Oryctolagus cuniculus: one gene and its partner. The protein of the gene in region 2 binds, or shares a complex with, the protein of the main gene of each other region. Links are inferred from orthologs where the notes say so. Each region holds a gene or a part of one and is shown on either strand. Other genes may lie near its edges.

Region 1 (6,023 bases), on a different chromosome or scaffold from region 2:
TGAGGTTTTATCGGGGGATGCTGTCTCAGCTGATGAACTTTGTCCTACATACAGAAAATTATTTACAAATGAAAGCTGTCAACTTTCTAATTTGGTCATTCATTTTCAAGTATTAGAGACATTACTCAATATGCCAGTTTTAATTTCAAGATTCAGAATTTTCAAAATTTCTCATAAATAGGGAATCCACCCAATAATTAAAGGGCTTTAGGATTCCTTGAAATTAAATCCCATTCGATACTGATCTAAACCTTGTGAGCAGGACAAACAGTTTGAAACTGTCAAGATTTAATGTGTGTAATTAATGACACAGAAATGTTAAGAGGTTTTCCAAAATAGGCTTCCTTCGTGGGTCTAACAGATATCTTTGCATATGCAAAGATAAAACTAGTTTAAAATCTGAAACACAAGACACAAATTCTAAGAAAATCTGAAAACTAGGTTATGATTAGTAAGAGATACAAGGAAGTTAAGAAACAAACCTTTATCATCTTCCTTCAAACACACATCACAGGCTTCAATAATTTGGGCTAAATCCACATGAAGTCCACCTTCTGAGTTCTCTTCCGAGATCTCAGCTCCTTTAGATTTCAGGTAAGCACGGAGTTCAGCAGCCTGTGGAATCAAGCAGGGCTGTATTACTCTGTACAGCCTTTAAGAAGGAAATATACAATGTGTGTATCTAGAAACCTGATTATGACCACCAAAAGCTCAAACCAAGTCTCTCCTACATGTGGACAACTAAAATGCACAAATTGTACTTTTAACTACCACCTCACTTCAGGCTAGAGTGAAGGGCTCCTCCTCCACCAGGCCCAGGGCTCCACAGACACCCTGCAGCCAACAGGGATCACCTCCCCAGGTTCTTTGGTCTCACCTGCACCTTGCCGGACCTCCAGTATAGATCAAAAGCCTTTATATAATCCAGGTTTTTTTTCCGGGGGGAGGGGGGAGGACTAGAGAGAAGAAACCAATGTGACTTGGTAAATTCAACTTTTCTGGAAAGTAATGAATCTTTTATTGTTCAAGTGTATATGTAAACACAGGTACTAGAAAAATTATAGACATTTTCTAAGCAAGAGGGTAATGATATGTTGAGTACTGAGAATCTATTCAAGATAAAGCATTTTGGGGGATATAAAAAGATAATGCTTGTGAATGTTGCCTTGAATACAATATTTGTGTCGAATTACATCTATGAAACAAATGCCAAATGCAGGCCCAGGCCAGAAAGCCCCTTTGTATATATTAAAGGCACAGGTCCCATACCACATGACGTCATCCAGACATAGTACCTACACATCTCTACCAATGCCTTCCTTTGAGAGCTTGGTGTTTACTGTTGCCAAACAGGAATCCAGATGGCTTTTTTTTTTTTTTTTTTTTTTTTTGACAGGCAGAGTGGATAGTGAGAGAGAGAGAGAGAGAGAGAAAGGTCTTCCTTTTGCCATTGGTTCACCCTCCAATGGCTGCCCCAGCCGGCGCGCTGCGCACCGCAGCCAGCGCACCACGCTGATCCGAAGCCAGGAGCCAGGTACTTATCCTGGTCTCCCATGGGGTGCAGGGCCCAAGGACTTGGGCCATCCTCCACTGCACTCCCTGGAAGAGGGGCAACTGGGACAGAATCCAGCGCCCTGACCGGGACTAGAACCCGGTGTGCTGGCGCCGCAAGGCGGAGGATTAGCCTATTGAGCTGCAGTGCCGGCCTCAGATGGCTTTTAAGATAACAAAAATGAAGAAGTCAAACAGGCAGATGAAAGAATACCACCTGTAAATGTGCAAGTATCACATTTTCTAGATTACACACACAAACAGGGGGAGACCATGATTTTTAAACCCCATAAGTACGTTTAGAAACCCCACAAAAATACATTAAAACTGTAGATCCAATAGTGCTATCCTTTAACATAAGAGTTGTATTACAAGCAAGATTCAAAACAAGTATCACCATTATCAGAGACAACAAAAATATGACTGAACAGCCAGGCACGCTCCCCAACAGTCAGGACACCCACATCCAGAGTGCCTGTGAGTCCCAGCGACTGCACTTCTGGCCCAGCTGCCTGCTGGCGTGCTCCCTGTGTAAAGTAGCAGGAGATGGCTGCAGTCTATGGCACCCTGGCAGCTAGAAAACCTGGATTGTGCTCCAGGCTCCTGTCTTTGACCTAGGCCAGTCCTAGCTGTTGCAGGCATTCCGGGAGTGAATAGACAGAGTATCTCTGCCTCCCTCTGCACAGTTCAAATAAAGTAACTTTTTAAATACTAGAATGCATGCTTCTTCATGAAGGAAACATACAATTTGATTGAAATAAAATTAAAGGCATTTGTTCACTTCCTAATTTGTAGACAGAAAGCAAACTCTCCCAGGCCAGCACTGTGGCACAGCGGGTTAACGCCGACCTGCAGTGCTGCCATCCCATATGGGTGCCAGTTTGAGTCCCAGCTGTTCCACCTCCCATCTAGCTCTCTGCTATGGCCTGGGAAAGCAGTAGAAGATGGCCCAGGTCCTTGGGCCCCTGTACCCATGTGGGACACCTGGAAGAAGCTCCTGGCTTTGTATCAGCACAGCTCCGGCCGTCGTGGCCAATTGGGGAGTGAACCAGCGGATGGAGGACGACCTCTCTCTCTGCCTCTCCTCTCTCTGTGTAACTCTGATTTTCAAATAAAGAAATAAATCTTAAAAAAAAAAAAAAGCAAACTTTCCGAGAACTATTGAACAGTTTACTGTTTTTATGCTATCCTCACTAGCTAACAAGTGGTTATGGACCAGTACAAGCAACGGAAAGCAAGTACAGGGAAAGAACTGCCCATTTTTCAACTCTAACCAAGCTGAAAATTTGAGCAGTTGAACTCTGGAAGGAATTGGTATTTTCCTGAAAGGAACAGCTGGTGTGAAACGGATGCGTTCTAAGAACAGTAGCAGAGCCTTAAAAAGGGCCACTTAAAATAAGATCAATGACAAGAACTTCCTCCATCAGGTTCCTTACAGTATGTATGTAACTTCTTTTTCAGGAACTTAACAGCCGATTGTTGGCAAAATGCTTGGTTTTTTTGGTCTTTCATTTTCCTTTCTGTGCTCACCTCCCTCCTTACCCTTGGCATTTCTCGTTGCTTTATCTATCCCCTTCTTACTTTTCAGAGGTGTAGGACTGCATTCCTACCATGAGAGGAAAAAAAAGTCCTACCTACAATTCTAGATGTTAGATCAGAATGAAGCTATGAAAAACAAAATTTCCACATTCTAGTAGTAGAAAAAAATGACAAGCTTATACTACTTCACAGAGTTGTTAGCTATAAAAAATTAAAGACTATGTAATGGCATGTTGGGTTTAATTCCCACCAACTAAACTTTTATTACGGGGGAAATTGTAAACATCGGCTCTGCACATCAAAGAGCAAACTCCAGTCAATTTAAAAATATCAGAATCGCCCACTAAGCGCTATGGAGCGGACACTTGCACAGGGTTACAGAACAATTCCCACTCGTGCACAAGGACGAGTGAAAACACACGGGCCAGCCCTGCCTCTGTGACTGCACAACCCCAAATGCATTCTGATCGTCACCACGCGATGACCTTTGCCGGACTGCTCCTGTGGGCTACCGACTCGCCACCTCCCACAGCGGCGGCGGCTGCTGCACTCGGAAGACGGAAGCAGACACCGTTCCTCGTCAGAAACTTCTCGGCCGTCCGACAGCAGGCTAGCAGAGTCCCGACGCCGACCAGGAAGCGGGCTGGCGGGCCTCGCCGGCCAGCAGCCCCGGGACGCGTGTCCCCGCCTGCCTCGCCGCCTCTCTACGCCTGCACCTACGCGACGGGCGCCCCGGAGTGGGCTCCGCAGGGCGGCGTCGCGTCCGCCCGGCCCCAGCTCGGCCGCGGTCCCTCACGCCCGAGACGTCCCCCCCCCACTCCACCCCGGCGGCACCCGCGGCGCCCGGGAGCACACCTGGTCTTCCTCACTGATGTCGATGAAGGCCGGGACGCTCATGGCGAAGGCCCGGGAACCGCGGACGCTCCACTCGCAAACCACGCCGACCGGAAAAGGGAGCAAAGCCGCGCGGCGGCTCCGCAAACTGCTTCCGGGTCAGCGGGCCCGGGTCCTAGTGGGGCAGGGCCGCGGAAGCCAATCCCAGGGCGTACGACAGCTGAGGCTTGGGGGCGTGGCGGACGCGCTGGGCGGGGCTCGTGGGCGGGACCTGCTGGGCTTCGTATCCGGGATTCCTCCCTGCGGTGTCACCATCCTGAGCCCTGCAAGTGTAAGCCTATTGGGCAGTGAAAATGACTTGTGCGAGAACAAGAACTGCCAGGAGCAGCTGCGGGGCCCTGCCTCGGTGTCCACACCGCCCAGGCTGTGGAACCCGCTCTGGGCGGCCCCAAGACAGCCTTCGCGCAGGCCACTCTCATTTGAAGGCACACACGGAACGCAAACCGCTAACAAGGAATTCGGAAGGCAGCCCAGGGTGCATCGTGCTTTTACAGCAAGGACTCAAGCGATGGAATCCCAGCTGCATCGCTCGAGGGCCACTGCCTATAAACTTCCGGGTTTGCGTTTCCCTTTGGGTACTTACCTGGTTCGAAGGAAAAAACCCTAAGACAGGTTCAGCTTAACAGTTTCGCTGAGCAACGAACGATTTGGAAACTTAGCAGCCCTCAGAACCAGAACAGCTCTGGCCTGTAGCTCGGTCCGGCAGCATTTATGGTCAGAGAACGGAAATGAGGGACAGACGCCTTGATTGGCAACAGCTAGGTGCTTTGCTTTATTGGTGTTAGGTGATCACCTGACATTGCCTGACGCTCAGTTTCGATTGGTGTAAGAGTGTACTAAAGTCTTTCACGTAGTCCTTTGGCAGTTCCTCTTATGAGGCCTGGAGGAGAGGGGCCATCCTCAGGTCACACTGCTCAATTTGACAACTTCATGGGGTTGTGAGGAATAAGCAAATTAAAGTAGAAAGCACTTAGAACAGGTGAGCACGGTATTAGCTCTTATTAAATAATACTGTGTGGGACACGTTACGTAGCGCTATTAAGATAAACACAGAGGCCAGCGCCACAGCTCAACAGGCTGATCCTCCACCTTGCGGCGCCGGCACACCAGGTTCTAGTCCTGGTCGGGGCGCCGGATTCTGTCCCGGTTGCCCCTCTTCCAGGCCAGCTCTCTGCTGTGGCCAGGGAGTGCAGTGGAGGATGGCCCAAGTGCTTGGGCCCTGCACCCCATGGGAGACCAGGAGAAGCACCTGGCTCCTGCCATCGGTTCAGCACGGTACGCCCGCCGCAGAGTGCCGGCCGCGGCGGCCATTGGAGGGTGAACCAACAGCAAAGGAAGACCTTTCTCTCTGTCTCTCTCACTGTCCACTCTGCCTGTCAAAAAAAAAAAAAAAAAAAAAAAAAAGATAAACACAGAAAAGGTGTGCAGGTAGGTGGGTGTGCCCACGCACACAGCCACTCGCGCCTTTTTAGCTAGAGTAATCAAAATGACTCAAATGTATTGTGACTTGAAGGAAATGAAAAAGTAATGACAGATCTTCAGGGAAGCTTTCATGTAAAAGAAAGCAAGGCAAAGGGCCTGAGGCAGGTGCCAGGAGACCTGTGGGCACGGTTTGAGTAAGGGGAGAGCGATAGGAGATGACTTAATCATTGACAGGTGGGGTGGAGGCGCTTGTAGGTCACAGTAAAAGTTTAAGCCTTAGCTCTTAAGGAATCGGGAAGCTTCTGATGGATTTTGGTTGGTGTGAGGTGATTAATTTTTTTTCTTGGTAAGGGATAACTCTGATAAACGATCACTCTGGCAAGCATGTTGGAAACTGACTTAAAGTGGATCAGCAGAGGGACCAGTTAGGAAAGTATTGCAGAAAGCCAGGCAAGAGTGGATGGTGGAGTGCGAATGGGAAATTGATTGGATTATGGATTTTTTTTGTATTGGTGAAACTGGTAAGATTTGCGAACAGATCAGATATGGAGTGTGAGAGAAAGAGGAAGTCAAGGTGACCCCAAAGGTTTGTCCTGAATTTAAGTCCCTGCATTGTA
Region 2 (5,986 bases):
GGGACCCTGGGGGCTGGGCCCCTGCAGGGCGCAGCCTAGGCCAGCCCCAGAGCTGCCTCTCCTCCACCTGTCTCCCTTTAGCGCGCATGTCCGTAAGCAGTCCGTTTCCGGCCCTGGGGAATGACAGGCTGGGAAGGCGGCATCACGGGGGTCAGGCGTTAGGAAGTCCCGTTTTGGCGGCGGTGGGGAGGACGGCCGTCTCCCGCTCTGGCCCGTGGTTGCCGAGTGCCGAGTGCCGGCAGGGAGGGGCTCACCTCTCTTTCTGCTTGGCACTCTTGGGCAGGGTCTGCAGGTTGAACTGCAGCATGTTCCGTCGGTCCTTGTCTCGGCGGAGGTTCCGCTGGCCGGCAAGGACAAACAACCTCGTTAAAATCGTGGCCATGCGCTCGCCAGAGTACGCGACACTCCACGCGTGACACGGCGCTCTGTGGATGCAGCCGCGGGGGCCTCAGGGTGGGCGCTTAGATGCATGTCCCACAACAAGCTGCTCTCTGAAGCAGGTTCCCCGCGTTTCGTTAGAGCGGCCCAGTTGGCCTCTACGCGGTGAAGACGCAACCCGACTGGAAGAGCTCCTCAATAAAGCCCGCACGCAGCAATTAGTGGGGCTGCGGGCAGGCCACAGCTCTCCTCCAGCAAACAGGAGGTCGTCCTACGAGCGTCAGCCACCATCAGCTTTGAAACGCGTGCCTGGACCCAGCACAGGCGCCTCCCCGAGAACTCCCACGCAGCAGCCCTGGCGGCTCGGCCCCGCTCGGCCAGGCCGCTGGCCCACCTGTGCGAAGCGCATCCGGTTCCGCTGGTAGGCAGTCTTCTGCGTGCGCGCCGTGTCCACCAGCTGGAAGCTCGTCTCATCCTCCTCGTGGAAGTAGGCGTACTGACTTCCGCCTCCAAACTGAGAGGAGTACTTATCTGGGGGCAAAGGGACAGCGTGTCGGGCAGCCCCACGGACTCAGGCCTGCTCGCCCAAGCGCGCCTCGGGCCTCGGGCCTGGCAGGCAGCTGGTGAGGCGTGCAGCCCCGCAGCCAGGCCCAGGCCCAGCAGCCGCAAGCAGCAGGTCACACGCACACTCGCGTCTGAACGCTCTGGTCTGAAGACCTGAGCCAGACAGAGCCTGAGGAATGCAATGGCGCCCGCCCCTTACAGGGAGAATCCGAGGGACCACACACTAATCCCGGGCACAGGCAGCACCGTCCCCGTCCCGCGGCACCCGGCAGCCCTGACCCGAGCCTGGCGCGCTGGGCAGCCCCTTCCACGCCACTGGGGTCTGAAAACCAGACTGAACCTGCAGTCCACCGACTGGCTTCAGTGGTCAGTACCCAAGCTGGACTGCCGCACGGGGACGTGTCCCACAGACGTCCCCAAGGGTCTGTGCCTCCCCCAGACGTCTGTGCATGGCTGCACCACAGCCAAGCCGACCTCTGGCACCTCCTTCCCGTCTACACAGCTTCCGGAAGGCTAGCAAGGAGGCACTGGCGCCCGCAGGCCCTGGCGCGGCGGCAGCGGGCGAGCACTTACTTGTGTACCGCTTGTCTTGGTACGTGGCCCCTGTCCAGTCCGCAACCTAGGAGCACAGAGGGGGCGCTCAGGTCAGCCAGAAGCAGGACGAGGGACTCGGCCGGCAGAGCACCAGGAGAAATGGCCCCCGGCTCCCCCGGGACGGCTCCCAGGGCTCAGCGCCCTCCTCAGCCGCTCTCCCGACGCGAGGGGACGCAAGGGCGCACGCACCTTCCCGAGCCGGTCGCCCTTGCTGAAGGGCTGGTAGGGCATGTCCCGAAACTGCTCGGGGACGGCGCAGGGGCCCCAGCCGGACGGGTTGTCCTGGATCACGGGCGTCAGGAACTTCGCCATCTTCTCGGACCTTACGGGGAACACAGACGATGGCGAGTGTGAAATCCCTCCGTCACGGGAAGGAACGCACACACCGGAGAGCCCAAGGCGCAGCCCACAGCACGGAGCACTCCACGGCTGCGTGCTCCTCGGCCATCACATGGTGAAGGCCCAAGCCCGGAGACCGCCGGCTTACCCTCTGCCCTGAACCATGAGCTCTCGGACCCGGCTTGCCGGAGCACCTTCGGCTCGGCAGGGCAGCCGTCTCAGTCGGCAGTTTAGCGACGCATGAAGTCAAGGTGCTTCCCGGCTTCAGCCTGCCCCACAGATCCGACACGGGAGTAACAACCTCTGGGCCCCGAGGCACCTCGAGCGAGGCAGGCAGCGGCACCCAACGTCCCCGACTACACGCGGAGGGGGACTGTGTCACAGGACCACCGCCCGAGCCTCGCCATCCGTGAACACGCACAGTTAGGATGCAGAGTGCGCAGACACTGAGGATCCCTGGTCCTCCAGCAGGCACTGACGTTCAGCTTCCTCCGCCCTGTCCCGAGTCTTTGCCACCAGTGCAAAGCCCACGCGCAGAGCGAGTGGTCAGCGCCAGGCAGAAGGCCCAGGGGTCAGCGCCAACCAAGGCCCCGAGGAGCCCTGCGCTCGATGCTCACCCACAGCACCGGGTCTCAGTCTCACCGTGAATTCACGCGTCAGACCCGGCGAGGCAGGTGCCGGCACTGTCCCCACTTCCCAGATAGGAAAACCGAGGCAGAGGCCAGAGATGGCCGGAAGTCACAATGCAGACTGAGACGGCGCCCGGCCCCTGCTCCTGCGCCCATTCGCCCTGCAGTGTCACGGCTCCTCCCAGGACCCAAAACCAAGGGCTCTGCACACGTGTGCCAGACACGTCCGATCCCAAACCCACGCACTTATCTCCACCGCAGCAGGTGAGGTTCCGGGGAAAAGCTGCGCGTGGAACTCGGGGTACACTCCCGGCTGCCCCAGAGGTGACATCTGGGCCGCGGCGGCGGGGGAAGCCTGGGAGCTTCAGCCCCCAAATCTGAACCCCAACTAAGCTACAGGAGGGCGGAAGAGGGCGGTGGTCTCAGGAACGCTGCGCCCGGGGCCGGTTCGGAGCCAGCCGTCACCGGCTCAGCCAGATCAAGCGGTCGACCCACTCCGGCTTCAGGACAGACTGTGTTGGCAAGGCTGCTGCCAGAAACCCAGCTGGGCAGCACAAGCCCGGAAAACATCCGGGGCTCTCCACCACACGCCCCCAAACGCAGCCTCTCAGCGAGATCGGGTTCTGCCCGCAGCCTCCGGAGGTGACAGAGCCGGGGCCCGCGCGCCAGCTGCCCGAGGTCCTCGCCTTCAGCACAGACCACGCAGCGGCGCTGGGCTCGGCGGGAGCACCCTGCGGGGAAGTCGAAGCGGCCCCGCGGCTCGCGGGCTATCGTCCTAGGCTTCTGCCGCCACTACGGGGGGCGCGCCGCCGACTCCTGGGCAAGAGAGCGCGCGCCCCGCATCCCCCAAACCGTGCCGGGCCCGAGGGCCCCGCGGGCAGATTCACGCCCCGCCCAGCGGAGGGACAGCGGCGGCACGAGAGGACGTAAAAGTCTCTCTTCCGGGAGGACCCCAAAGGCCGAGACGAGCCCGAGCGGGCTCCAGAGGTCCGCAGGACCCAGAGAAACGCGCCGCTCACCTGCAAAGGCCTCGGTCCGCCCGGATGGCGAGAGATGGTCCGGGCCGGAGACGGCAATTCCAGGGGCACTCGGAGGAACCGGGAAAGGAGGGAACATGCGCACGCAGCTGCCGGCGCCGTAAACACGACCGTCGCTGTCGTAAACTGCTCTCCTGCTTTCCCCGGATTGGGGCGGAGGAACGCCCAAGCCGTAAAGCGAGGCTACACCCGGAAATCCGTCACTGCTCTTTCGAAGGCATCCTCAGCTTCCGAGGCTTCAAGTCGCCTAAGGGGGTGATTACGGTTACGTCAGGCGGCATCCGGGGACGCTCACAGAGAGCGTTCCCAGTGGCAAACGTGGCGGCCGGGCAATGGCGAGCGAAGCTGGAGGCTGGAGAGCGGCTGACAGCTCGCTGTGTCCCACAATGCCTCGCGGGATGCGTCGGCCCCTCTGCGTCCCACAATGCCCCGCGGCTCCGGCCGCTCTGCCCGCGGGACTGCGGCGTTCGGTCGCGGAGGGGCTTGGGTGGAGCGCGTTGGGCGGCGTGGGTTCCTCCCGCGTGTTTGACAGCTGGACGCCCGCCCGCACGGTTCAGTTCGGACTGCTAGTTTACGGGGTGGCCGCCAGGGTGCACCCGCTCACTCCACAGTTACCGGACTTAATGGTGACATCGCAGTTTTTCTCACAACAAATTCAGATTCCGGGTGTGGTATCCGTGGATGGTTAATCAAATGCGGCTCAGCCGGAGCCCGGGACTGTTTTAGTGAGCTGCGGAGGCGAGGCGGGAGCCGCGGCCCCGTCGGCTCCGAGGGCGTCAGGCAGGCAACCCCAGACCCTCCCTGTCCTGCAGGTGGTCCCGCTAGTCCCGCAGCCCGTGTCCCGGGGAGGGAAGCTCGAGGTGCCTTCTCTAAGCCTTAGGGGGTGGGGTGTGTGCGGGGGCCGCGCAGCCGCTAGCGACGCGGATCCCGCGGCAGTGCGGGTTCGAGTCCCGGCTGCTCCGCTCCCCGTGCCGCTCCCCGCAGAGGGTGACCCAAGTTCTCGGGCCCCCCCACCCACGCGGGAGACCCGGACGCAGTTCCAGGCTCCTGGCTTCAGCCCGGCCCAGCTCTGGCTGTTGTGGCCGTTTGGGGAGGGGAAGATCTGCCTCCACTTAGCTTTTGGGTGAACTTGGCCTCTCTGGACCTGCTTATTCATCTGTGAAACGAGGATGATTAAGTGGCTGGTCCAGAGAGGCTGCGTCTCATTACTCAGACAGGCGAGCTCAGCGATTCTGAGCCGCAGCGAACCGCAGGCATTTGCTTACACCCCCCCCCCGCCCCCACCCGTGCATCTTCCAGGTCCCCTGGTTTTTGTTAACGGTGCCTGCTGACCTCGTTGGTGGGTCCTTCTCTCTGCCCTCATTCCGTTCTCGGCTGGCTCCTCTGTACTGCACCAACCCCAGCACACCACGCACGACCGGCCCAGCTCCCGCCTCGCACACCTGTCTGCAGCCTCCTAGCAGCTTCCTGTCCTGTGCCTAGAAACGCGGGGGTTTCCTGTGGCTGCTCCGGTCCCCCCCCCCTTTTAAAAAAGATTTATTCATTTTATTTGAAAGTCAGTTACATAGAGAGGAGAGGCAGAGAGAGCGAGCGAGAGAGAGATAAAGAGAGAGAGGTCTTCCGCCCGCTAGTTCACTCCCCAGATGGCTGATCTGAAGCCAGGAGCCAGGCGCTTCTTGCAGGTGGGCCATGTGGGTGCAGGGGCCCAAGGACTTGGGCCATCCCCCCTTGCTTTCCCAGGTGTCTTAGCAGGGAGTGGGATTGAAAGTGGAGCAGCTGGGACTCGAACTGGCACCCATATGGGATGGCTGCGTGGCAGGCAGCGGCATTACCTGCTACACCACGGCGGGTGCCGTCTGACTCTTCCCTCCTGGGTTCTCATCGCTCTCTGAAACACTGTTCGCTCCCTAGTCTGGGCGCTGCCTGTCCTTAGAGTAAGCGCCCCAAGGGCAGGCCTCTGTCTGACCCGGAGCAGCCTGTGGTGGGCGATGCGTGTTTGCCGTTGTTGAATGAGTAGGGGAGTTGTGGGAACTGAAGGAGGACTGAGTGTCACTCTGGGTGGGATGCGGGCCACCGCGAATTTCCACGAGCGCGGGTGACGCTCTGGCTAACTTGCTTGGAGGGTGTGTGTGTTGCCGCGGGCTGCAGGCCGTCTGCGCAGCCTCTGTCTCGTGTCAGAGTGGAATCGTCTCCCGTGTTTTGGCCCAGATGTGCCTGCCGCCCCCATAGGGAAGGAGCCTGCGTGATTCTCGGTGGCGTCCCTGGGCTTGTGGGGGGGGGGTCTTGCTTCTGGCCTTCCTCCCAGCTGACCCCCTGTTGCTGCTCTTTCTGCAGCTCCCACGGCAGCTGGAGTGACCCTCCCTCCCCTGCTCCAGCTTCCAGTCTCTCCGTTGGGCGTAGCCTGCGTCTCAGGCTGCCAGGGCCTGAGTCTTGGCTCTGCCGCGG

Evidence for each region.
Region 1: EIF3D (region 2) and EIF3M share a complex: the UniProt entries of both Homo sapiens proteins name them as parts of the eukaryotic translation initiation factor 3 (eIF-3) complex. The link is inferred for Oryctolagus cuniculus from reciprocal best matches to the Homo sapiens genes EIF3D and EIF3M.

The regions. Positions count from the first base shown.
Region 1 is NC_091432.1:33,317,419-33,323,441, forward strand, and holds the start of EIF3M (eukaryotic translation initiation factor 3 subunit M), read right to left. Parts: upstream 4,155-6,023; 5' UTR 3,988-4,154; coding exon 3,946-3,987; intron 616-3,945; coding exon 483-615; intron 1-482. UniProt on the Homo sapiens protein: Component of the eukaryotic translation initiation factor 3 (eIF-3) complex, which is required for several steps in the initiation of protein synthesis.
Region 2 is NC_091442.1:113,766,008-113,771,993, forward strand, and holds the start of EIF3D (eukaryotic translation initiation factor 3 subunit D), read right to left. Parts: upstream 3,999-5,986; 5' UTR 3,524-3,998; intron 3,396-3,523; exon of another isoform or gene 2,518-3,395; intron 1,859-2,517; 5' UTR 1,849-1,858; coding exon 1,726-1,848; intron 1,562-1,725; coding exon 1,516-1,561; intron 910-1,515; coding exon 773-909; intron 341-772; coding exon 255-340; intron 1-254. UniProt on the Homo sapiens protein: mRNA cap-binding component of the eukaryotic translation initiation factor 3 (eIF-3) complex, a complex required for several steps in the initiation of protein synthesis of a specialized repertoire of mRNAs.